2 linked regions of the Rattus norvegicus genome follow. The protein of the gene in region 1 interacts with the protein of each later gene in a biochemical or structural test. Links are inferred from orthologs where the notes say so. Each region holds a gene or a part of one and is shown in the gene's direction. Other genes may lie near its edges. The genes, in order: Reln and Vldlr.

Region 1 (4,276 bases):
GGTGGTGTTAGGGTTACACTAGGCTAAGGACCTACAGCCTGTAGCCTGCACGGCTCCAGTGTGATATTAGTTGTGTGTGTGTGTGTGTGTGTGTGTGTGTGTGTGTGTGTGTGTGTGTGTGTGTTCTACATAGATGTTGAACTTTGGGAGGATTTTAAGTAATGGAGACCAACGAGCAGTTCCTATCTGCTAAACCTATGCTTTGGTAAGAGGCAGAAAATAATCTTTTGCAGTGAAATGACCACAGAGGTCTCCTTTTCGATCTTGCCTTCTGATGCCCTTTTCCCAAACTCAGGCAAAGACTACCATTTCAGACATTCCCGTTTCCTGGTTTCTTTATAAGCAAGGCTTTCTTATTCTGGCTTGGTGCTGAGCCTGGGGAAACGCATTAAAACCTGGCAGCCCTGTTCTCACTTCTCTGGGTGCCTCCGGGCTCCTGCCAGCGGCGCTCAGTTAAAAATGTGCTTCTAGATGGTTTCACTTGTCCGCAGTCCTGCGTGCGGCAGCTCATTACCGCCCGCTTCATCCTTGTTGCCAGCCACTCCTCTGCATGCCTTCCCCTCCCCCACCCCAGGGACAGTGGTCATGCATGATATGAAAAAGAAATAAACTCGGACCTAAAATTTACTGCCCCCATCTCCGTCCTAGGATTTCGGGAGCAACACGTAAAGCCAGAGTCCGGCGAAGCGTGCCTGTCCAGTCCCCTCTCCACAATCCCCACAATCCCCACAGCCCCTACAGCCAAGCAGCCCGACTATCTAGCCCCCCACCACTCCAGGTGGCAATCCCACCGTCACCCAATCTCCCTTTCAGCCTGGCTGCCGCTGAGGACCCGGGCCGGGGCAGCGGTGAGGTCGCGAGGCCTGGCTGGAAAGGGTACGGGCACGCGGGGCACCGTCGCGGCTCGGGGCCACTGGCGGGCGGGTCCCCAGAACAAGCGCTGGGCGCGGGGACTGCGGGGCGGCGGGCCCCGAGGGGCGCGGGGAGCAGCCGGCGCAGACAAAGAACGGCGCGGTCCCCGCCGCCCTCGGCTTCCCCGCGCGTCCTCGCAGAACGGGCAGCTGTGAGCCCCGGGCTCCGGCTCCCCGGGGCAGCCCGTCGGTCCCCGGCCGTTCACCGTTCCCGCAGCGGCCGGGCAGCCCTGCCCTTCCCGGCCGAGCGGGGCGTGGGCGGGAGACGCGCGTGTGCGCGGGACGCAGCCCGGGGTGCGGACACAGCCCGAGGGGGCGGGGACGGGCGCGGGGGCGGGGGCGCGGCTGGGACACGTGTGGCGGCGGCGGGGGAGGGGGCGGCGCCCGGGGCTTTAAGAAGGTGCGGAGGGGGCGGGCGCTTTCCCAAGCCCGGCCGAGGGGCGTCGCATGCACACGGGCAGCGGCGGCGCTCGGAGGCGGACGACGCGCTCTCGGCGCCCGCGGCCCCGGTGTCCCCACGCTCTCGCTCCCGCGGCCCAAAGTAACTTCGGGAGCCTCGGTCTCCCGCCAACTTCCCCCCGCGGGCTCGGTTGCCCGGAGCCGCTCGGATCGAGCCCGCCGCCGGCTCGCCTTCCCAGCACGCGGCTCCTCCGTGCCGGTGCCTCCGAAAGTGGATGAGAGAGCGCGCGGGGCGCGCGGCGGCACGGAGCGCGGCGGCATGGAGCGCGGCTGCTGGGCGCCGCGGACTCTCGTCCTGGCCGTGCTGCTGCTGCTGCTGGCGACGCTGAGGGCGCGCGCCGCCACGGGCTACTACCCGCGCTTCTCGCCCTTCTTTTTCCTGTGCACCCACCACGGGGAGCTGGAAGGGGATGGGGAGCAGGGCGAGGTGCTCATTTCCCTGCACATTGCGGGCAACCCCACCTACTACGTACCGGGACAGGAATACCATGGTAGGTACCACGGCATCCACAAGGCGCCGCGGTGGCCCGCGAGCGCATCTTCCCATCCTCTTCCTTTTTCCCAGGGGCCAGCCGGGCAGAGACCCGGACAACCTCCTACCTCAGCGGGGTTCGCTACCTGGGGAGAGAGAACAAAGTTAGTGGAGAATGGAGTCCTGAGATGGGATTTCAACTGTCCCTTAACACATCTCGGGATAAACTGGTGCTTATGTGACAGGCCACACAAGCTTTGGGCACTGCTGTCTTTCCCTCCTCACTCCCTGCAGCTGCCTGCCTAACTTGTGTATTCTCTTTTCCTAACCCCAGTACCTAGATACCAGACTTTTGTCCCGTTCTGGGACCCCCTTGGTGGGTCCCCAGGTGGCGCTGGGATTGTCATTGGACTTTGCAGGCCAGCTGCCCACAGACTTGGAGCGCTTTGGTCGGTGGCTGCCCATGCCGGCGGCCAGCTAAAAGTTCCCGCTGCTTTGCAGCCAGGAGTCCCCAGCGATCTACCGAGTGTCAGGCAATCCTCAAGAACCAGAGCGGCTGTTTCCAGCCCTTTATTCTTTTAAAGGGTCATAAAAATATCAGTGATTGATGATTTCTGTCATCCCCTTCATACTTTTAGCTTGATGCTTGCTTTTGTTAGCATCGTCTGGGTGATGATTCTTAATGACTTGTATCTGCACCGCTTTAAGTCCCTGGTAGGAGCTACAAGCTACTCGCGGGAAAGCCGATCCCTCTCCAAAGGGATCAGTATGCAGTCCTTCAACGAGGTTAAAACATTACTCAAAAAGGAAATGTAGCTACAAGAGGAGTAATTTAATGTAGTATGCAACCCTTCATTGAGGTTAAAACATTACTCAAAAATAAAAATTAGCTACAAGAAGAGCAATTTAATGTGGTACCTATTCTTTTGATCAAGTGGAATTATGTGGGGAGATAAAACATGTTTACTTTCAGTCTTCATACTGGGACTTCTTAAACAATGATAAAAATATTAAATTGGAAAATTTCCACAAAATATTGATACCCAATTAAATAAGCTATCATAGAGTGAACTCATGCCATCCCGTAGACACCGTCTGTAATAGGCTACAGGTGTTGACAGAGCAGAAGATGGCTGGCATTTCACATAGATTTGGAAGTGAAAATTTTACAAAACTACTTCAGTTTTCCATTTCAATAAAACCTTCCTATCCACCCCCAAATACTTTGAGTATGTTCATCCTAGATTTTTAAACCAGTGCCTTCACAACTTTGTTGTGGAATGGTGGCAGCCTTGCCCGTGGAATTTTAGAATTTAATTTTAGGAAGTTAATTTCTGTGACTAGTCTTTTAAAGAAAAGGGCTGGGGTTGGGGATTTAGCTCAGTGGTAAGGCGCTTGCCCAGCAAGCGCAAGGCCCTGAGTTCAGTCCCCAGCTCCGAGGGAAAAAAAAAGAAAAGGGCTTGCTTGTATGCGTTCCCTTCCCGAGAGTGATCAGGTGATTTTTCTGAGGCCATGAAAATCTTTGAAGTGGAAGGAACAGCTAGGCCTAACCCGCAAACTGAGACAGTTGTCACTTGGTGTGCCCCTTAGCAGATGTGCTAGCCTATTAGCTGTGAGAGTCATGGGCCAGTGAGTGAAGGCTGGTCTTAGAGGTGCTACTGTCAGGTTGTGATGGAGTCTTCGATGATGACAAAGCCGTATTGTCCCCCACCACACAGATCCTCTGTACAGCCCTGGTCGGCCAAGAAAGCACATGTGAGACTAAGAATGTAGCATCTGCAGCTTTTGCTGTAAACCTCAGCCTGAATGTAATCATGTCACTAAACCTGAAAAAAGGTGACTGTATTATTTGGATTGGACATGGCAGGGAACAGGTCCCTGGAATCTCTTTTATGCCACCAGAAAAGATGGGGCGGGGGATTTTATCACGAAACTTGAAAGGTCAAATTATTAGAGAGAATAATACCATTTTAAATTCCCATTAAATACTGTATCGAAGTTTTAGCTTTGGGAACCAGCTATACAATGACTCTAGGCCTCCAGTTTTTTTTCCTATAGAGTAGGCTAGAGGCAAGAGAAATGCTTAAAACTGAAATTATACGTCCATGTGGCTTTCATTATTAAATCTTTGGAAATGAAAGCATCTGTAAGAATTGACTCACTATAGGAAGTCATAATAAGTACATTCGTGGTTGGCTCGTTTTGGTGAATGTTGAAAGTCAGAGGTCATTTGGCTAAAATGCCTACTCAGGTGAGGAAATCTGTAAAATTTTGCCTTGGGAATCTCTTTCTAGCCGTCTACATCTTCTAAATGCAGCACCTATGTCAGGAAACACGGGTTTGTCTTAGATTTCCATGGAGCTCAGGGCTTTGGCTGAATGGCATTGGGTGGAGGGCTGGTAGTTTTGAGGTTTTTTTTTTTTCCTTTTTCTTT
Region 2 (4,395 bases), on another chromosome or scaffold:
AACTTGGATTCATTCGAGGTACAGCAACTTATAAAACCGAAGTGTATACACATCACATTAGCAGGTGAAATAATTCAATGTATCCCTCTACTCTGCTTAGACCAGAGCACAGAAGGCCTCTCAACCAGGGCGATGTGTTCAAGAAAACTGAAGTTCAATAAGAACAAATCCTAGACTTAGGTCCTGCCCGGCACCCACCTCCCCCGATCTATCCTTTCGAGAAGGTTGACTTTACTTCCTTTTTTCCCTCCACAATGCTCGTAATTGAACGTTACAAAGTATACCGAGAATAAATCTACCGGGGTCCCCTTCCTCCAACCAGAAAAAGGTTAAGCTTTTAATTACAGGCCCTCAAACTATCATTTTGTGCAATTAGCAATTAACTATAATCGTTGATGAGAGAATGCAGGGCTGCGCTGGCAATTTCCCTCCTCCCCATCCCAGACTCGGTTATTTTAGTCTTCTTCTATTACAGAGGACAAGCCACAACCGCGGGAGCGCTCTTGTTCTTTTTCTCTCTCTCTTTCACACACTCTTGCTTAAAGCCACATTTAATTTTTAACAAAATGGCATGTCAGCTTGCCACTGTGATGGGACACCGAACCCCACACAGAACAGCGGAGCGTTCGCATCCCTCCTCTTCATCACTTTCAGGTTGGCGAGAAGAGTCCCCTCAGAAGATGCTACCTACCGACCTCACAACATCAGCCCTTCCTAGGGGCTCTGGAGAGGGGGGAAGAGGGTTCCTTGCTGCCCCCAGACCCCTCAACTGCCAACCCCATCAAGCCCGGAGGCGGTGGCAACAGCAGCAATAGTTGCATCAGCGCTCCTTGCCACGGCGCCAGGAGGGTACAGTAGCGACTGTAGGGAGCTAGGGAGCGCACAGCTGCTGCGGCCGCAGGTTCCCTGGATCAGGAAATTAGGACAGGCACCCGGGATTGGAGGTGAGAACGGTGCGCGAGCCAACCAGAGGCCGCCCCGGGTCCCCCGTGAGCCCCAGGCCGACGCGCGGAGAAGCCGAGCCCCTGGAGCCGTCCGGATGGCGGCGGCGACAGCCCCAGCCCCAGCCCTAGCCCCAGCCCCAGCCACTCACGCACGCACGCTGCCACTTGCCCCCGCACCCTCCTCACAGCGCGCGGGAGAGCGGTGCGTGCTGGAGCTGCTGGGCTGAGCTCCCCCGCTGGGGTCGCCGCGCCGCTCGGCCGCGCTCCTGCCGCCGCCCCGGTGGGTGCCCCAAGACCGTTCACTCGAGCTGTCCCCGGCGGCGAACGGGCTCCCCGCCCCCTCCTCCCGCGCCGTTCCCTCCCCTCTCCCTCCCCTTCTCTGCAACGCCTGCATTATTTTCCGCCCGCAGGGTCTGCGCGCACACCGCGGCCGCGGCGGGGGAGGTGACCGGGTGGCTGGCTGGCTGGGTGGCTGGCGAGGAGTAGAGCGTGCAAGTTGCAGAGAAGGGGTGCCCGCTCCTTGCGTGCTCTCCGTGCTCCCGGCTCCTCACTCCTTCCCCCTCCTCCTCGCCTCCTCCCTCCCCGCCCCCACCTCCTTCCTCCTCTCCGAAGGGCTGGTAACTTGTTGTGCGGAGCGAACGGCGACAACGACGGCGCGACGGAGGCACCATCCGGGCGGGCAGCATGGGCACGTCCGCGCGTTGGGCGCTGTGGCTGCTGCTCGCGCTGTGCTGGGCGCCCCGGGACAGCGGCGCCACTGCAAGCGGTGAGTGGGGACGCGCCCCTCCACACTCGGCCCGAAACAAGCCGGGCGTCCGCGATCGCTGCGTTTTGGGAGACCCCGGGGCTCCTCTTGCCCATCCCCTCCTAGCAGACGTCTCTCCACGCTCCTCTCCTGCTCCCCTCCCCACCCGGGTGGCGCCTCTGAGCTGTCAGAGCCGAGGCTACTGGGAGCCGGGCCCGGGGGACTGTGGGGTTTAGGGTGTCCTGAAGCGTCCCTTGAACTTGTTGTCATCCTTCTGTGTCCCCCTTCTTTCCAGAACCTCTGTTTTACATGGTTTTCACCTCCCATTGACAAGGGCTAGGGGATGTGGGCTGTAGAGCCACTGAACAATGGTTCTGCCTCCTCTGCCAGGCGGGCTGTTAGGACCCTGGCAGAGCATGGGGCCTGGAAGCCCGGGTGCGTCCCTCAGACTTAAGCAGGGTTGAGAGCGCACGGTGGGTGAAGGTGGGCGTCTCCGAGGACACCGGGCACCAGGTGCCGGCCGAGCCTGTAGTCCTCGCGCCGCCGTGAGCAGGCGCACGTTCGGTGGGCGGCAGCCTGGAGGCCGAGCCATGTCAAGTACGCAGCCTGCGCCCGGGACTGCGACTCCCCAGGCGCCGGGCCATCTCTCAGGCTCCAAGTGTGGCTTTCAACTGGACTGTCCTCTGAGTGCCTTTCTTTCTCCCTCCCCCGGGGATTCCGCAGCTACTGCAGCCTTTAAAAACCTCTGGGGTCTCTGAGATAACTGAACGGGGGAGGGGAGTGGGATCCAGACTTAATCAGGTTACTTTGCTGAGCCTCATTCTGGGCAACACTTTCCCCCAGAGAAACTGAGTCCCAGTGTAGTGACTGTAATTAGCCTTTATTCTACACAATAAGGCCGGAAGGTGTGGTGCTGGAGCTGAAGTGTGACTGTAGCTTGCGGAGGGCGGGGGTGACTACAATCGAGTCCCCGGGGGTCAGCACACTGACTTCGGAGCCCTGTGTACTTTCAGAGTCTCATCTTGGGTCATACAACTTTCCAGAGCAGGTGATAAGACGCCTTCCTAACAAGGTCCGGTCTGATCCTTGGCAGGCCACTGAAGAGGTCTTAGAGGTCTTAAGAGGTGACACCAGAGTGCTTGCTTGTCAACCGGCTCTAGACAGAACGCCGTCCCCGCTCTAAATAGTCTACGATCCCCATCTCTTGTCGCCCGAGTAGCTTAGAAGGCCCGCCCGCGTGCGGTCACGTGTGTCCTGGAGTGAGAGCGAACTTTCAAGTGTGTGGTCAAGCGGTCTGTCGAGCTATACTGGGGTGTTTAAGTCCCCCAGCGCCCCTGGGCCTTTGGTTCCGCTGTCCGGAGCGTGAGAAGCTGGGCAGGGCTTTTCTAACCCATGCGATTGGCTGGTAGCTGGATTGCGTTTAGCTTGGTCACGTGTCTTCGCGGAGTTAATTGAGCTGCCCCAGCTGGGATACCTTTAAGATCTGCCAGGCTCAGAGGGGCCTTTCCCTCTGGAGCTTTCTCCAGCTGCACTCTGAAAAGGGCCCATGTACAGTGACGCCAGAATCCTACGTGTGGCAAGCCTATGCGCCCAGAGAAGCCCTGCTTAACCGAACATTTCAGACGCTGACATTAATCATTAATGGATGAGTAATGTTAACTTATTAAACCATCCCTCAGAAGAGTGACTCGACTCGCGTTATGTATTCTGTAATATTTCAAAACACGAAAGTATAAAATCCATTATTGACTGTGATTCAGGGAGGTGGGAGAAAGGAGTCACTTTAGCTGCAGAACCTTTTCTGTTCTTGGGAAATTTTAAAGCGCTAACTTTCTCTCAGGTGCTGTTTTCTATGGAGTGGTAGGAAATACCCAGGCTGCTGCAAAGAGCTAGTCAAACATCAGAAGTTGTTCGGCTGGGATCAGGAAAGCGGGGGTAACCTTTGTTCCCCCTTTACTGCAAGTGGAATATGGTGGTGCTGCCAAAGTGGAAGAGGAAAACAGGCAGGCACGATCCTAAAGAGTCAGAGGGGGAGGGGCAGTTCTTTCTGAGCTGCAGCAAACTTGGAGTTGGTTGAAGCAGATACTGACCATAAGTAAACTCAGAGAGCCGTGTCTTAAGTTCAAAGTCCCGAAACATGTGGACTGGTTTTCCTGCCCCCAACCTTCTATGCTTTCTCTTTCTCTCCAATGCTTCCTTCTGTCCCCCCAACACACATACCGACACACACGCACATACGCACACGGGCATGCATATGCACATACAAGGGGTTACTCTAAACTACCCGACACAGGGTAGGTATGTGTTTGCAGAGTTTCTTCAAGAAACTGAAGTGAAGCTAACAAGGGATGTTAACAAACGAGACATCACAAGGGCTGATGGCAGAATACATGGGGACTCTAGGACTTTCCCCCTCCAGCCTACCTATAGATTCAGATGGGGCATGTTGCACAGCCTTCAGAGCCGGAGTTCTGCAAGAGCTCTTCCTATCTGACCAGTGAGTATTATGCCTCTTACAATGGGAGTGAGCAACTTACCAGCAATACCAGCGTGCCTGCAGGTAGGAATCTGGATGACCAGGAGAAATAATCCCTGATGGAGCACCAAGAGAGGGTAGCAATCATAGCATTCCATGTAGAGGAGGGATTTCTTCTTTAAAAAAGAGTCACAATCCAAGCTTCGTGGGCAGCGCATTTCCTAACACCT

Evidence for each region.
Region 2: the proteins of Reln (region 1) and Vldlr form a complex in vitro, tested with the Homo sapiens proteins (6 studies listed by BioGRID). The link is inferred for Rattus norvegicus from reciprocal best matches to the Homo sapiens genes RELN and VLDLR.

What each region holds. Positions count from the first base shown.
Region 1 is NC_086022.1:13,627,111-13,631,386, forward strand, and holds the start of Reln (reelin precursor), read left to right. Parts: upstream 1-1,457; 5' UTR 1,458-1,629; coding exon 1,630-1,861; intron 1,862-4,276. UniProt on the Homo sapiens protein: Extracellular matrix serine protease secreted by pioneer neurons that plays a role in layering of neurons in the cerebral cortex and cerebellum by coordinating cell positioning during neurodevelopment.
Region 2 is NC_086019.1:234,239,241-234,243,635, forward strand, and holds the start of Vldlr (very low-density lipoprotein receptor precursor), read left to right. Parts: upstream 1-1,445; 5' UTR 1,446-1,628; coding exon 1,629-1,710; intron 1,711-4,395. UniProt on the Homo sapiens protein: Multifunctional cell surface receptor that binds VLDL and transports it into cells by endocytosis and therefore plays an important role in energy metabolism.